Pelodiscus sinensis: one gene and its partner. Each later gene encodes a partner of the first gene's protein in a complex. Links are inferred from orthologs where the notes say so. Each region holds a gene or a part of one and is shown on either strand. Other genes may lie near its edges.

The links.
Region 2: the proteins of AAK1 (region 1) and PDLIM5 are in contact, whole or in part, in a crystal structure (PDB 9F6S), measured with the Homo sapiens proteins. The link is inferred for Pelodiscus sinensis from reciprocal best matches to the Homo sapiens genes AAK1 and PDLIM5. Residues at the interface, in NP_055726.4 of Homo sapiens: Asp956, Leu958, Ile959, Asp960, Leu961; in NP_006448.5 of Homo sapiens: Ala12, Pro13, Trp14, Gly15, Phe16, Arg17, Leu18, Phe24, Gln67, Ile70, Lys71.

The regions. Positions count from the first base shown.
Region 1 is NC_134738.1:1,521,446-1,529,300, forward strand, and holds the start of AAK1 (AP2-associated protein kinase 1), read right to left. Parts: upstream 3,156-7,855; 5' UTR 2,807-3,155; intron 2,580-2,806; 5' UTR 2,394-2,579; coding exon 2,231-2,393; intron 1-2,230.
Region 2 is NC_134715.1:19,389,074-19,397,224, reverse strand, and holds the start of PDLIM5 (PDZ and LIM domain protein 5), read right to left. Parts: upstream 3,145-8,151; 5' UTR 2,999-3,144; coding exon 2,991-2,998; intron 2,494-2,990; exon of another isoform or gene 2,354-2,493; intron 1,500-2,353; coding exon 1,364-1,499; intron 1-1,363. UniProt on the Homo sapiens protein: May play an important role in the heart development by scaffolding PKC to the Z-disk region. May play a role in the regulation of cardiomyocyte expansion. Isoforms lacking the LIM domains may negatively modulate the scaffolding activity of isoform 1.

The DNA of each region.
Region 1 (7,855 bases):
AGTGACACACTTTGGCCTATGGGTGCAAACATTTCCATCCGAGATGGATCTAGATTGCACCAACTCAAGGTCCAAGTTGCTAGGCGGTTCTCCAGAACCCTACACGTTAACAGCCCTGAATGGGCACTGCGGTGCCACACTGAATGCAATGCCAACAGGCAGGAAAAATGCGACGCTGCAGAAAGTTTGACCTATGCTGCCTTCTCAAGTGACCCCCATTTCTTTGGCTGCACCCTCTATTTATGGAAGGGTGGTTTCCTCCATTCCCCCTTCCTCCCAGGGGCAGAAGGGTCCCATGGGCCTTCACCAAGCCACTAGCCCAATGCTCTGCTATTAACCAGTCACTTGGCAAGGCCTTTGGGACATGCACCAAGGAGGCGAGGTGCTGAGTCTCCTTTGGAATTTTTGACCAGTCGTAGCAACGGGCTCATTTGAGGGACAGAACCCTGGCCCCAGCATCCAACAGGAGAAGGGACTCAGCTCCTCGCACATCCCTGTAGCCTTGCTGCAAGGCATGAATCAGACCTGTTTTACAGGGTTAGCCGTGCCCGGATTCATTTGTGCAAGCAGGCTGATGGCAGAGTCGGGACCAGGAGTCAAGTCCTTTGACCCAGTCCAACCCCTAGTCAGCCAACCGTATTGAAAGCCAGGTTTAGACTCCAGGAGTCCTTAATCCTTGTCCCTGCTCTCTGCACCTAGACACTCAGTCACAAAAGGTCTCCAGCAGGCGGTTGTGTGACTGATAGCACAGCAAGGGGCCAAGTCTCCCTGCCTCTAGCCCACCCCTCCTAAGCATGGGCGCAGATGAACTGAAGCGCACAATGCATCCTAGGAGGGCTGATCAGGAGAGGTCCCAGGAGCATGGAAGCTTTCTCATGCTGCTGTCAGCATCCTGGGCAGGACCTGCCAGCGGAGATTATTCACCCGCAAAGAAATGTATTTTGCCTGTGTTGCAGGCCAGAGAACAAGTTTTAGGCCAGCTGTGTAATGACAGCAAGACCAGCTGGTAGTGAGCCTCCTTCCTGGACTCCCGCTGCCAGCAGGCTATAGTCCTTAAAGGCCAAGAGACCCAGACTGTACCCGTAAAGTCAGTGCCTCACCCAACAAGAACAAGTTCTGTATAACCACCTACGAGCTTGTGGGGTGTTTCCAGATGACAGGTTTTGGCCTCCTCCCCCATCTCATCCCCAGCGCTCACCAGAGTCACCACCCAGGTAGGAACTGAAATCAACAAAGACTTGAAAAGATGGTTGGAGATTCCTAACACACTGCTCCCTTTCCCCTCCTCCCCCCACTCAGTTCTCATGCACCAGCTTCCTTCTCTCTTTTAACCCTGGCCTATTCCAGGCAATCCATTTGCAGAACCCTAGACAACTGACAAAACACTGGTCTGACTGAAGATTCAGAGGATGCTGTGCAAAGGATGAACTGTGAGTAGATCTAGGGAAGGCAACATTATTATTCTGAAGGTCGAGGGTAAGGTTACCAGCAAGAAGCATTCAGAAGATTCTGTTAGTGCCTAAGCACATACATGACAAGTAAAATTCTAATTACAGCAGCAGTGCTCCAGATAAAATATTAATTTACACACACTTCACCAGTTTTTTACATTGCAAGAATGTCACATCTAATGTATAAACACCTTTAGGATTTCAAGCCCTTCCTGTTGGGTTTTTTCTTCCCCCTTTTAAAGTACTTTACAACCCGAACATGTAATCTGGATTCCAGTTTTCTTTGCAGTAGCCCCGCATATACAAACAAACAAACAAACAAACAATCCCACACCACAACCAGCAGTTAGCCCTGGTTGATCTATAAAATATGACAGAGAAAATTTACTTCAAGGTGTCCCCCGATGAAGGTGGGTAGAAGGAATCAGGCCAAAAAGTTAGAAGACCACTGCTTTTGTTGTTCATAAGTGCATCTTTCCCCCACCACAATGTACCATGATGGTTGTTTTTAAAGCATTCCAAGTTTGAAGCTGGGAAAATCCAGTACCTGCTGTTTTTATATTGTCCCTTTGGATTTATATATATAAAAATCACCAGCATTACCTGCAATTGATTTACGTATCTGAGAAACCAGTCAGCTGTAGAAGCCACCAGTTCACAAACCCCTCCAGGGCAATTAAATTTTGAAAGGGGGGGGGGGCAGAAATATGATTAAAGAAAGGCCCAAGCCTCTGTTTGTAGTTAATGGAAAAGGGAGAATAAAGACACTGCATTCTTACCTTCAGCCAGCACTTCATCCACCGTCACCTGGTATCTCCCAATATGGAACACCCTGCCAATGTACCCACTCCCTGGTCCGCTAGAACTGCCGCTTCCACTACTGGTACCAGAACCAGGGCCAGAACCCCCCAGCTCTCGACGAGAGTCAAAAAACTTCTTCATCTCCCCAGAGATATAACTGTATTATAATCAAAGGCGATGTTATTTTCCAAGGTCCAATATTTTCCCCTTCTTGATTCCAGCCAATTAAAATAATCCACTCCCAGCGGTGATTTTTGCTTGTTTGTTTTAAGTAGGGCAGATGATTTTCCCCCTCCTCCTGGCAGGCAGAGCTTGTAAGATTTAGACCTGTAATGACAGTATCAAAACAAGGGAGGGGGGAGGACAAACAATTACAAATACTTAAAAAAATCAGCCAGACCCTGGACAAAATTAAAACCCCCAAAGATGTTCCCACCGTTCCCCTAAATATTAACAGACAAATTCTTGCACTCCTCCCACCAAGCACTGCAAGCAGTTGGTTATAAAAGAATGATGCACCTCTCCCTGGATCCCTGCCCCCCATTCACACACACCTAGGAGCTAAGGGGAAGGCTGCCCCAGCCCTTTACTGCAGAAAGGCTGGACCTACCCAGCTAGCAACTTGGCCACAATGTTACCATTGCTGCAGCCGCTCTACGAGCCCTGGATGAAACACTGTTATAAGGTACCATTGCCACTCAGGGAGGCTAACAGCAGCTGATAGCCAGAGACCATTACAGGCTGAGCCTGCTCCAGCCCCCCCTCTGCTCCAGCTCCATCCAACCAGGAAATGAACTGTCACAGGAAGTCCCTGCTTCAGGGAGGGTGGGTGGAGTGGGGAGATGGTGCCTGGGTGATTTCCCATCCCCCCACCAGCTTTTTTTTAACCCCTTAATCCCCAGCATGAGTCTCCCGCCTGCAAACAGGTTTCAGGTGACGAAACAAGGCAAAGGGCTGGGAGGGGCAGGGGGGCGGTGGGGGGCTCAGATCCAGCATTAAAGCAGCAGCCCAGGAAACTGGGCATCAAAGAGTGTTTTTTTTAAACTGCAACAGACCTCTGTCGCATGGCATTCTGGGAGTGGTAGTTCTCCCGGGTGGCAGCTCCGGCCAGCTGTGCAGCGAGAGGGACTACAATTCCCATAATGCACCAGGAGAGGCGCTTGCGTGGGGGGTTAAGAGTAAAGCGTGGTGGAGAGTTTAGTTGTCACCCTTGTTCAGTGCCCCCTCTTTGGTGTGGGTTTGATTAATTAATGAGTATAAAAGCAATTTCCCCTCCTCTTCCCCCCTGCCAGACTTACAGCAGGGGCGCCTGGGAGTTGTAGTTTCTCTGGACCCCACCATGGCAGCACCAAGAGGGACAGCATCCTGGCCGGAAAAGCAGAGAGAACCCGTGAATCGCAGAACTATAGGCCTGGGAACGACCTCCAGAGGTTATCTAGTCCAGGCCCCTGTAGTGTTCTCCAGTGGACCTGATTTCCTGGCATCCCCCATCCTGCTTTGTAGGAGTTTATCTACTCAGCCTCCTTAAACAGTCAGCCAGCTGCTTAAGCAAAACGAACAGGCTCTGTTGGAATTGGGAGAGCAGGGCTGTGCCTTAGCCATGTGAGCTGTTTGCTATAGCTGCACTTTTTAAAAAACAAATGTCACTGTAACAGTCACAAATCTTCAGCGAGATGCAGGGCTTGCGATTTTTCTCCTGAGCCACGGAAGATGCTGGGGTTTCATAAAACCCCCACACCTGGGAAGCATGTAATTAGGAGAGACTATCACTTTTTTTTAAATCAAAGCTAAGTTCCTAGCCTTCATGCCGGATGGCGGCATGGCCTGATTGTGCCTCAGAAGTTCAGAAGACAAGAGGGCAAACAAAAAGAATCCAAAGTTTATCATTTTTAATCCCGTGGTTTTTAAGCCAATCTCAAGATTTTTTGTAGTTTGGCTTATGAATGTTCGGAGTTGGCAAGACTCATTATTTGTTATTCTATTATTTCTTTTTCATGGCATCAAAGAGTTGAAGGCCAGAAGGGACCACTAGATCCCCTGTGTACCAGAGGCCACTCACCAGGCTTCTGGAAAGGGGAGGGGGTGACCCTGTGCTCCCAGAAGGGGCAGGGCCTCAGGCTGTAAGAGCAGGGATGGGGGGGCAGGACCAAGGTATCTGAGCTTCATTGCCACCGGGACCACACCCCCACCCCTTCAGCAGCATCTGGAACAGCAATTTAAAGAGCCCTGGGTGTCCAGCCACTGCTGCTGCCGCAGTAACAGTGGTGGTGGCAGGTGCCTTAGGCCCCTTTGCCCCTCCCTGTCAGCAGGCCTGCCTACCATCAAATGCTGGGAGGGCAAAGGCGAGGGGGTGCCAAAGAGTACCATTTGGCCTAGGGCCAGTCCTGGATGGCTGGTCCACAGCTCCCCCCAGCGAGCCCCCAAAATTTGCCACTGCAGTAGCTAGTCTAGCTTCACAGGGCAGGGTGGGTGCTGGATGTCAGCTCTTTCCCCACTTTCTAATGCTAACTCGCAGTGTGATCCTGAGCACGTCACGTCCGTGCTCAGTGCCTGTGTTTCCTGTCTCCCACCCTGTGCTTGCCTCTGTTTACACTGAAAGCTCCTTGGGGCAGAAGGTGTCTTACAGCACCTAAGACGGGGCAGATCAGCCCACCAAGCCTTTGGATTCAGCCCGTGGGGGGCCATGTGGGGTGACTTTGCACGCACGCCTACACACACATACACCCCATGCAGCACAATCATCGCAACTCCTATTGGCTGGTACAGAGAGTCATGAGGCACCCGCAGCCAACTACTTTGAGTGGTCTGGGACTGTGGCAGGCACGGAGTCTGCCTGAAGTTCCCGCTGGGCTGCTGGCTGGGAGCTGTCAAGGGTAAGTGCCTCCTCGCCAGAGCCTGCCTCTGGTACTTTGCCTCATCCCATATCCGAACTCCCTGCCCTAGGTCACTACTCAAGAACTCCCTCCCAGACCCTGCACATCTTCCTACACCACTCCCACAGGCCAGAATCCTCTCCTGCATCCATACCCCCTCCCTGACTATGCACCCCCTGCTGCACCCCAATCCCCTGCCCCAGCTCACAACCCCCTCCTTTACCCAAACTCCCTCTCAGACCTGCATCCCTGTTCCCTAGCCCGAGCTCCCTTCTGCACCCAACCTCCATCCCAGACCCTCCATAGAAGAGGCCGGCCCTTGACCACTTACCAAAATCTCAGAGTGGCTCCCAATCAAAAATTATCGCTCACTCTGGCATAGGACAATGGGCCCCAATTTTGGCTGAAGCCTGAAATTTCTCTTGTCACAGAAATAACATCAACACATTACTAACCTATTCTTCTCTGTGTGCCAGTCTGGTTCACCAGGCTGGTGAGGGGGGAGAGTTTTTAGGGTTTGTTTAATGTAAATAGAAGCTTTGGCCTTGGTCTGCTGGGTCACCCTTGGTCAGGGGTCACCAACCAGTCGATCGGGATCTATCAGTAGATCTTGGAACCTCTGACAGGGGATCCTGACGGGTTTGGCCGGGAAACTCTCAAGTGCTGGCACTTCAGTTGCCCCTCCCCCACTGTCATGCTGCTCCTGCCCTCTGCCTTCGGCTGCCCCTTGGAAGCTTCCTACTTGCTGTGCAGGGTGTGGGAGAGAGAAGGGGGGGCTGATGTCAGGGTGTCCCTCCTCCCCCCACTCCTGTACCCTGTATCCACAGAGAGGGGGGGATGGAGGGAGCTTGGCAATGCAAATCTCTGTCACGCCCACGCACTGTGTGTGTCTCTGTCACTCACAAACACACACTGTCCTTCCCTCTCATCCCCTGACCCCACACGTACATGGGGGGTTGTTGCTACTTTTACTGCTGGCAAAGTGGGTTCTGTTTAGTGTTTGACTGGACTGTGCATTTCGTAACTTTCATTTCTCTCTTACACTTAAATTTAATTCTTCGAGTACTAAAATGCCAAACTGGTCATGTCTGGAGTAATTATCCCTGGGGTTGGTTGTGCTCCTGGAGGTGGCTGGCATGTCTGCAGCCCCCTAGGGAAGTCAGAGTATGCTGTCCTTGTCAGTAGGCACCACTCCTGCAGCTCCCATTGGTCAATGATGGAGAACTGTGGCCAGTGGAGGCAGTGCCTGTGGATGAGGGGCAGCACATGGAGCCATTGCTGTACATGCCAGGTGCTTTGTGGGGGTGGGACAGGGCCTGGGCTGTCTTAGTTCTACTGTGTTATTCCTGGGCAGCTGTCTAGCAAGACTTGAACCTACCCTGCTAGGCTCCCCAGGAAACTGCCCTATCCCCTAGACCATTCCACTGCCCACTCTACAGCCCTGCCTTCAGAGCGTCCCTAGTCCTGTGTCTGGTCACTCCCAGGGTGGGCAGAGGGGACGGCTTGAAGGTAGGGAGGTGGAGTGGGATCTCCAGTGAACTTGGGGATGGGCATTAGCCTCTGGAGCACAGGGTGGTGGGCTCCGTGCCACCCCCTCCACCCACTCAGGCAACGGCTGGGCTGCCAACACAGGCTGCCTGAGGGGTGGAGCTGGCTCTGGATTAGGAAGGCAGGATAAGGGACCTGCTGAAGGTAGAGGAGGAGGGGGAACAGGGCTCTGGAGTGGCTTGGAGAATGGGGTATTTGCCTGGGGAGCACAGGATGGTGGGTTCAAGCCCAAGTTCTGCTGCTGGCAGCTCAAGAACTAACCCCCCCCCCCCACACACACACACACACAGAGGGAGGTGGGCTGGGCTCCCAAGTGGGCCAGGAGATACAGCACTTGCCTGCAGAGGACAGGGCTGTGGCTTGGAGTCTCCATTTCACCCAAGCTGCACCCATCTTGTGGCAACCAGACAGCCACCCCAGGGTCTAGGACCCACCAGAACTGGGTGGGCTCAGCCCTGGAGTGGCTTAAGGGATAGAACATTCCCCTGGAGAGCACAGGGTGGTGGGCTCAAGCTCTAGCTGCCCCAGGGATGGGCCAGGGTCTGGCAGGAGAAAGGGACCCCTTAAAGGCAAGGGGGGGGGGGGTGGACCCTGGAGTGGCCTAGGGCAGCACCCCTCAGCCAGCAGTACAAGTACCCTTAGGGGTACCCAAAGGACAGGGGGTGCATCAACAACTGCAACTTGGAGAAAACTCAACTTTTATTTTAAGTTTTACAGCTTTTTATTATTTTTCTACTTTTTACCAAATATTTCATCAACTACAATTAAATTGTTAAACAAATTGTGTGCAAACTGTAGGTACTGGGGGTACTTATTATTCTTTTTTTGAAAAAGGGGCACTTTATAAAACAAGGTTGAGAAACACTGGCCTAAGGCATTTGCCACACAACCAAGACTAGAGCCTGTACCCCTACCCCAGCCTGGTGAAAGTGAATACGATGCGGGGAGGAAGGGCAACAGAGCGAGCAGGGGGAGGCGTCAGAGAAGGGGTGGAGGAGGGGCAGGGCCCCAGAGATGGGGGGATGGGGGGGAAGGAAGCCAGGCAAGGGTATTTGGGTTGGGGGTAGATCTTACATTGCATTTAAATTGAAAAAGTGATCTTGTGGTTAAAAAGGCTGGAGACCCCTGCCCTTGGTGGGGCAGCTGTCCCCAATGGACACTCTGCAGGAAGCTCTCCCCTGC
Region 2 (8,151 bases), on another chromosome or scaffold:
ATTTAGTTGAGATCACTTCTACAATACTCCGTTATGTACTATTTAAATTAAAAAAGGCTGCAAGGCAACTATTTCACCTTGATCTCAACAGTGTAACCCACAACTGAATAAGATTATCTAGGTCTAAATAAATCAGCTGCATTTGAACCTGCAACTGAAAAAGCTAAGTTTGATGATGCAACAGAAACCAGAGCCCTCTCCCAGGGTAGTACTGACACTGCACTGAACAGGTGTAAGAAGTAACTTATCTTTGTCACTGAAGTAAATAGGGTGATTTAGGGAAAGCAAGGGGAGGGGGAGTTGAGGGAAAGAGAATCTGTTAAATAAGGTGCCATTTTACACTCTTTTACTACTTTTAGAGTAGACTTGCCCTTCCAAAAAATGGTTTCTACAGATGACACACACATATTAGAGAAGTAAAATGCACTCTAACTAGGATTCCTAATATTCTAAAAGCTTCAATATTGAAAAATTTGTATGTATAGGTTATACACGCCAAATATAACAGCCTCGGATATTTGAGGAAGGTTTTGAAACTCAGCCCAGATCTGAAGAAAAGTGTCCATTAAGCACTATTTGAGGGTAGTGAACTCTAGCTGGACACTGCACTGCTATTCATACAAAGATTGTATCTGTTTTGACTTAGCTCCTCAAATCCTCTGAATAGCAGCAATTACAAGTACTTATACTGTACAGCACCGTGAGAAACTGGCATGTTCATTCAGGCACATTTTAATGAAACACCATTCACAACTACTGCACATAGTTAAACTACTTTTTTAAAAAAATTGTCAACAGATTTTGCAAGAGTAAGATACTGAAAGATCATAAATTCAGTTAATTTGCTGGATATATAGAGACAACATGAGCTATTTTCTGATTTAAGGTCCATGCCCCCTCGTGCTTGAGATATGCCCCCAGCAAGAAAAAGAGGAGAGAGGGGAAAAAAGCATCTGCTACTCAAAAGCTAACTTTAGCCTAAGACATGATTTAAATTATGTCAGTAGTCTTCCACCTCTGCTTCTTACATACACATCTACCAAAGCTAGAATGAAAGGAAATACTTCATCTCATGCATACAAAAGCAGCAAAATACTGTTATTATTTCAAACATTTGTTCTCCCTAAGGTAACTTTGAGGCCTCCCACCAACATAATAAATTAATTCTCCCAACAGGTTTTTTTAAAAAAAACAAATCTACTCCATCATCCTAAGGGACAAGGAGGGACACCCACTGTACAAGCCATCTGTCCTCACACTCAACAAGAGGATCATATTACAGAACTACTCATCTTTGCACGTTTCAGGTACCACATGATGTAGCAGACATTTTTGTAAAGTCTATAAAGGCATAGATGCTCACCCTAGAGATGGTCAGAGGCATGTTGAAGTCTTTTCCACCTTGAAGTCTAAAACCCCAAGGAGCAGGGCCGACCAAAGACACACTGTAGTTGCTCATGGTGTTGGATGCTGAAGGACTAGTTCCAGATAATAAATGTCTGTGAAAGAGGATTACATTTTAGTGTAAATCTTAATAAGCCATGTACACAATGAAATAGAAATATTAATTTAAAAGGGGGCACTGTCAACTCAAATATATGTTGCAAATAATTTTTTTCCCTGTTTTAAAGACCTTTAACTGTTAATAATGGGCTATAGAGGTCTCATTTGTTACTAATTGTCCTATCTGCTGACTTTTTGGCCTACCAGATTAGGAAATGAAAACATTATTTACTTTCTGATTCTTAGTACTGCAATATTTGGGTTTCACATACTGCATACAGTGATTTTTTTTAATAATTGTTTTCTTTGGAGAAAATGTGGAAATTTCTCCTATGTTTTTGTTTAGAGGTTATTTAATCTGGTTTTCACAAAATGTTAAGTACTGGATCAAATTTAAATTTACATGGTTCTAAAAATTACATAAGTACATAAAAATGTTAACAGTTTATGGAAAATATGTTAGCACAGTAATTTCCCACAAAATATATTTCCTGTGATACTATTAAGTCACAAGTGCACAGATGCATTCAAACACTCATTCACAAGTAGTGTGCTTGTTTTGGTTACACATTCAAATACCAAAAACTACAAAATGTATTATCGAAAGTTATTCCAAGGGGAAAATGTTGTTTCTTGGCATTTTTGCCAATAGTTTATGTACATCAGATAACTATTTCCATTTTTATAGTAGGCACATACAAGCTATTACAGAAGAAATCAGAAAAAAAAAAGAAACAAATATGCAGAGAAAATTATGTACCAAATACCAAGGCAACTTATTTAAGAAAAAGTATTTTAAGAGAATCCCAAGATTATTTTCCCTCCTCCCCCAACAAGGATGAAGGTTTACCTTTACAAAGCACGCTGTGCACTTATCTTTGATACTGAGCAACAAAATTAACAGCTTCAGCTGCACCACATACAGGCAACATTACAATGACGTCTTAGGTAGTAGCTACCTTCTATTTTTATATTTGAAGTGGAGGGAGGGGAGAGAGCGTGCACACACTAAGGGATGGATTACTGTAAGACTACACCAGAGCAATTTAAAATTCCACATTTACTTAATATAGGAAATTTAAGATCGAACTTCAGTCAAGCAGAAAAAAGTGTGTTTCAAGCATCAAGTACTGCAAGGATTATTTTTTTAGTATGTTTACACTACAGTATACATAAATCTAATAAAATGTCATTTCTATGGGACTACTGCCTGGGAAGTTCCATAAAATGTCTCACTCCAAGCCTAGAAATGCACAAAAGTAATGAGGCAAAATTATATAGATTTCTAGATACATTTCACCAAAAGAATCTAGCTCTTAAGCCTAATTTCCATATGAAGGATCAAAGTGTAATGGTCCTATTCACACCAGTAGTTCCATTTAACTAAATAAAATAGGAATATCTGGCTACAGCATGCTAACAAGATAACTTTTAGGAACTATTTCTCCAAGCTAACAACAGAACAAGATAGTCCCTGAACTACTTACATCCTCATGCCAGAAGCTGCAAAAGGACCATTGCGCCCACTGATTTCTTACGTTTCCATCTCCTGTGCTCCCACACGCAGCTGACCAAACATAGTCCCCTGAATGCCAATGCCTCCCTACTTGAAAGGATCCTTCTCTTCTTCCTTCCTTCCCTTCCCTCCCTCACCCACACAAAAGAAAATGTCCACAGACTGAGATATGATCCTTATAGAATTTGCTCATTAGTTCTAGGAAGAACTACAATTCACTGAATCATTCTATGTACTATACACTGAATTCCATCTAAAGTGCATATTTATTACAGATTTTACTACCATGAGAAAATGTTTTGTTCTCCCTAAATTAAGTTTATCATTTTAATGTGATCTCTCAGATTAATGGTGGTGGGGAAAACAAACCTTATCTAATGCATTGGAACTCAGTTTGATCACCGGTAAGTGACATGATTTCCCCCTCTCTCCCCAACTGAGAGCAAAATTAAGCATGTGAATATTTTTCCCTGAATGGGTTAAGAGGGGGAGAGTTTAAAAAATAATTCACGAAGAGATACCAGAAATTGGTTTGTAATGGTAAAAGGAATGGTAAGATACAATATGCCTCTCTGCACACACATACCCCTTTTGGGCTTGCAATTAAACTTCTGCATCTCATAAAACTAGAGAACTTTTTTGGGATGGGGAGGGGAAGGGGAGGAGAGCTACAGAAACACCCTAAGAAAACAGATTTACTGATGTGTTTGTGCCATCCTTAAAGATTCTACAGCTAACATCATGTGACTCAAAGCCCAGCAAATGCATGGATGCCCTCCTTATATCCATGGATGCAGATATCAAGAGACATGTCTGAAGATATAAAATGTGGATCTGCATCCATCTGCTATCTAGAGCCCAAATCTGCAGATATCCATGGCCCATGTTTGCAGAGAAGAGAGAGAGGTATAAATTTGGTGTATGTGCAGGGCTCTATTAATTGAAAATGAAAAGAGAATGAAAGAATTCTCTATGAAAAGAGAATGTGCAACAACTAGCTAAGGACTAAGTTGTGAAACTCTGGTGCGGCTGAACATTCAGTGATCCTTCTTGTGTAAGTGCTCAACAAAGCATTTTGCCATCTAAACATAAGTGAGGACAGGTTAAGTGCATCATTGCCCCCTGTAGGACAGAATCAGAAATGCTCAACTGTAGGTCATACTTCCAGTAATGCTAACAGATAACTGAGATACTAAAGTGACTGTGCATTCAGGAAAATCTGGTGTTCTGCTGCGGTGAATATCCCAGTATCCCCAATGTGCAGAGAAAAGAAAAAAGGAGACATCTTAAGTGGACATGTGTTATAGTATGAAATGATCAAAAAGTTAGGTTTGATTTTGTGTGTGTACTCCGTTGAACACCACACCATTTAAAAAAAGATTAAGCCTGGGCTTACAAGTGAAACTGCTGGCTTTACTGTTCCTGCAGCTATCTGGTTACAAAAGTCCCCACAGGCAAGAGGAAATGCATGGCCATAATCAAACAATTACACACCCTAAACTTGCCCAACCCAGCTCAGCTATGAACTTTCCTTCGCAAATCCTTTCCCTTCTTCCCCCCCCCCCCCCCTTCTCCCCTCACTTTTACCATTTTTGGTGCTACTTTGTGCAACATCCTTGCATGTAAAAACTAAAGCAGAGAGTGCGGGCACATGACACCCCGACACAGGCTTGCACGGTTGGCACCTACAAGACTGACTCTGGTCCCCGTTCCGCTGGCTGCTGCTGTTTTAAGCAGAGCTCTCCAAGAGGAGCACACATCAGTTACACGGTAACCCGTAAGAGCTCGGAGCTTGTCGCTTCCCTTAACACCAACAGCACGGTCGGCTACCAAGGGGCTTTCAAGGGGGGAAAACACCAAACCAACCGAAGCCACTCGCGAAGCGCGTAACAATTCAGAGCCACCCCAGGGGAGCCTCGCTTAGACACACCCGCTTTTCCTGCAGCTTCACATCGGCGCAACTCTCCGTCCCGCTCCCCCAGGGGCTCCGACCTGCCCACCCCCCTCGGGGCTTCAACGTGAGAGAGACTGCGCCCCGCGCCTTCCCCCCGGCACCAGGGGTGGATGCGCCGCTCGGGATGGGGCTGCAGACGCCCCGGAGCTCAGGCGCCTGCAGTCGCGCTGCAGAGCTGTCCCGGCCCGGTTCCCACGCACGGAGCCCCGGAGGAGGGGAGCACGCTGCGGCGCCTCCGGCAGGTGCCCCTCCTGCAGCCTGGCTAGCGCCGCACCTGAGCCACCAGCCCCCTCCTCGGCCGCAAGTGCCTCGCCGCGCTGCCCCAGGCGGTCCCCGCCCCGGCGCTCGGCACCTGCTCACCTGGGGGCTGCAGCAGCCGCGCGGCGGGAGAGGCCCGGGCGAGAGGCAGGGAGCTCGCAGCGCGTGTGAGAGGCTGGGGCTGCCGCGTCCCGCGGGGCTTGTTTTCACTTCCGCCTCGCTCTGCTCCTCCCCCGGCCCAGGAGGGATGGGGAAGTTCTCTGCTCTGCAGCCGAGCGAGAGAGGAGGAAGCCCTGCCGGGCGGGCAGCGGGGGAGGAGGAGCGGGTGAAAGGCCAGGACAACAGAGCCAAAAGAGAGCTCGCACAGAAAGTCAGGCCCTGGCCTGCCAGCCAGGGCAGCCCCGCCCAATTAGCGAAGGGTAGGGGGGTGCAAAATACTGTTCACAGCACCTAGGGTTACCTCAGTGCCACAGACATTCTGGAATAGTGATAGAGATGTAGCCGTGTTAGTCTGGTGTAGCTGAAACAAAATACAGGACTATGTAGCACTTTAAAGACTAACAAGATGGTTTATTAGATGATGAGCTTTCATGGGCCAGACCCACTTCCTCAGATCAAATAGTGGAAGAAAATAGTCACAACCATATATACCAAAGGATACAATTAAAAAAAATGAACACATATGAAAAAGACAAATCACACTACAGAAGAGAGGTGGGATTCAGGGGAGGGGGGAAGGAAGGTGAATGCCTGTGAGTTAATGATATTAGAGGTGGGGAAGGGGAGATGTCTGTGAGTTAATGGTATTAGAGGTGATAATTGGAGAAGCTATCTTTGTAATGGGTAAGGTAGTTGGGGTCTCTGTTCAGCCCCCTGCGGAGAGTGTCGAATTTTAGCATGAATGCCAGTTCAGAGGATTCCCTTTCAAGTGCAGATTTGAATGTCTTCTGAAGTAGGATGCATGTGATTAGGTCATTGAGACAGTGTCCTTTCTGGTTGAAATGGCAAGAAACTGTTTTTTTTCTTTGTGATCCTGTCTAATGTCTGTTTTGTGGGCATTGATTCTTTGGCGAAGTGTCTGAGTCGTTTGTCCAATGTACATAGCAGATGGACACTTTTGGCACATGATAGCATAGATTATATTTCTGGATGCGCAGGAATATGTATTCTTGATCTTAAAACTCACTTGGTTAAGCCCAATAATGGTATCAGCAGAGTGAATATGTGGACAAAGCTGGCAATGGGGTTTGTTGCAAGGGAAAGTACCAGGGTTGGTATTAGTGTGGTATGTCCTGTGGTTGTTGGTAAGAATCATCTTGAGGTTAGGTGGTTGTCTATAGGAGACTATGGGTCTGTCTCCCAGAGCTTCTTGGAGTTTAATGTCCTGTTCCAGTATAGGCTGTAATTTATTGATAATGTGTTGGACAGGTTTAAGTTGGGAGCTGTAGGTGATGACAAGTGGTGGTCTATTGTTGGTTTTCTTGGGTCTGTCTTGTAGTAGATGGTTTCTAGGTATTTGTTTGGCTCTTTCAATTTGCTTTTTTATTTCTCCAGGTAGGTAGTTGAGGTGTATAAATGCTTAGTAGAGATCCTGAAGTTTCTGGTCTCTGTCAGTGGGATTAGAGCAGATGCGGTTGTATCGACACTCTCCGCAGGGGGCTGAACAAAGACCCCAACTACCTTACCCATTACAAAGATAGCTTCCCCAATTATCACCTCTAATACCATTAACTCACAGACATCTCCCCTTCCCCACCTCTAATATCATTAACTCACAGGCATTCACCTTCCTTCCCCCCTCCCCTGAATCCCACCTCTCTTCTGTAGTGTGATTTGTCTTTTTCATATGTGTTCATTTTTTTTAATTGTATCCTTTGGTATATATGGTTGTGACTATTTTCTTCCACTATTTGATCTGAGGAAGTGGGTCTGGCCTACGAAAGCTCATCATCTAATAAACCATCTTGTTAGTCTTTAAAGTGCTACATAGTCCTGTATTTTGTTACAGACATTCTGGGCACTTGCCAGGACGCTGAATGACTTAAGACGTCCAGCATTCCTATTAGTGTGAAATGCTGTATAATCATCCCCATTAGCCACCCTGGAGAACAGTCCCAAGACCAGTAATAGATTCAGCTGCAGTAGAGAGGTGGATAGTAGCAGCAGTAACGCTCAGGTGTGTGGCAGAGTTGTGCTGGGTACAGCAGGATAAGGGTGCACACGTGACTACACCATTTGTGCCACACCACCTCCCACTACTAGGACCAGCTGGGGGGCACTTTGTTCTGCCAGCAGCTGAAGTTCTGAGAGTGTGCCAGTCCTGCTTCCCTTCCGGTCTCGTGCTTATCCTACGTCAGGGATGGCAAGTTATATGGGCCGATGGTGCCCAGGCTCTGGGGATATTCCTGGCCTCAGGACTGGCTCCAGCAAAGTTTGGGGCCTGGTCTCTCCTGGGTCCCATCTGCTGACCCCATCCATCTACCCCCACATATCCACTCCCCCCCACACTGTGCATCCCACAGCCAGCCTGCTGCCTTGGGCAATTTAAAAATGATGCAGGGGCCCTCACTGCCAACACCACTGGTAGTGCAGGAGGGCTGGAGCAGCTTCCTATTTACTCCCTACATGTATGGTGGCCAAAACATTCCTATAGCCCCTGGGCTAAGGGGGCGGGAGCAGTGTCTCTATCCCCTGTCCCTGCCCTGAGTCCCCTATGTGCAATGGGAGTTGTTGATGTGGTGCTTGAGAGCTGCTACCAGGGCAGGGTGCCCCAGGTAAGTGCTTCACCACCTCCTGCACCCCCACCTCTTGACCCAGCCAAGAGCCTGCACCCCAAACTTCTTCACAGAGCCTACACCCTCTCCTGTACCCCAGTCCCATGCCCAGACCAAAGTCTGCACCCAAACTCCATCCTAGAACC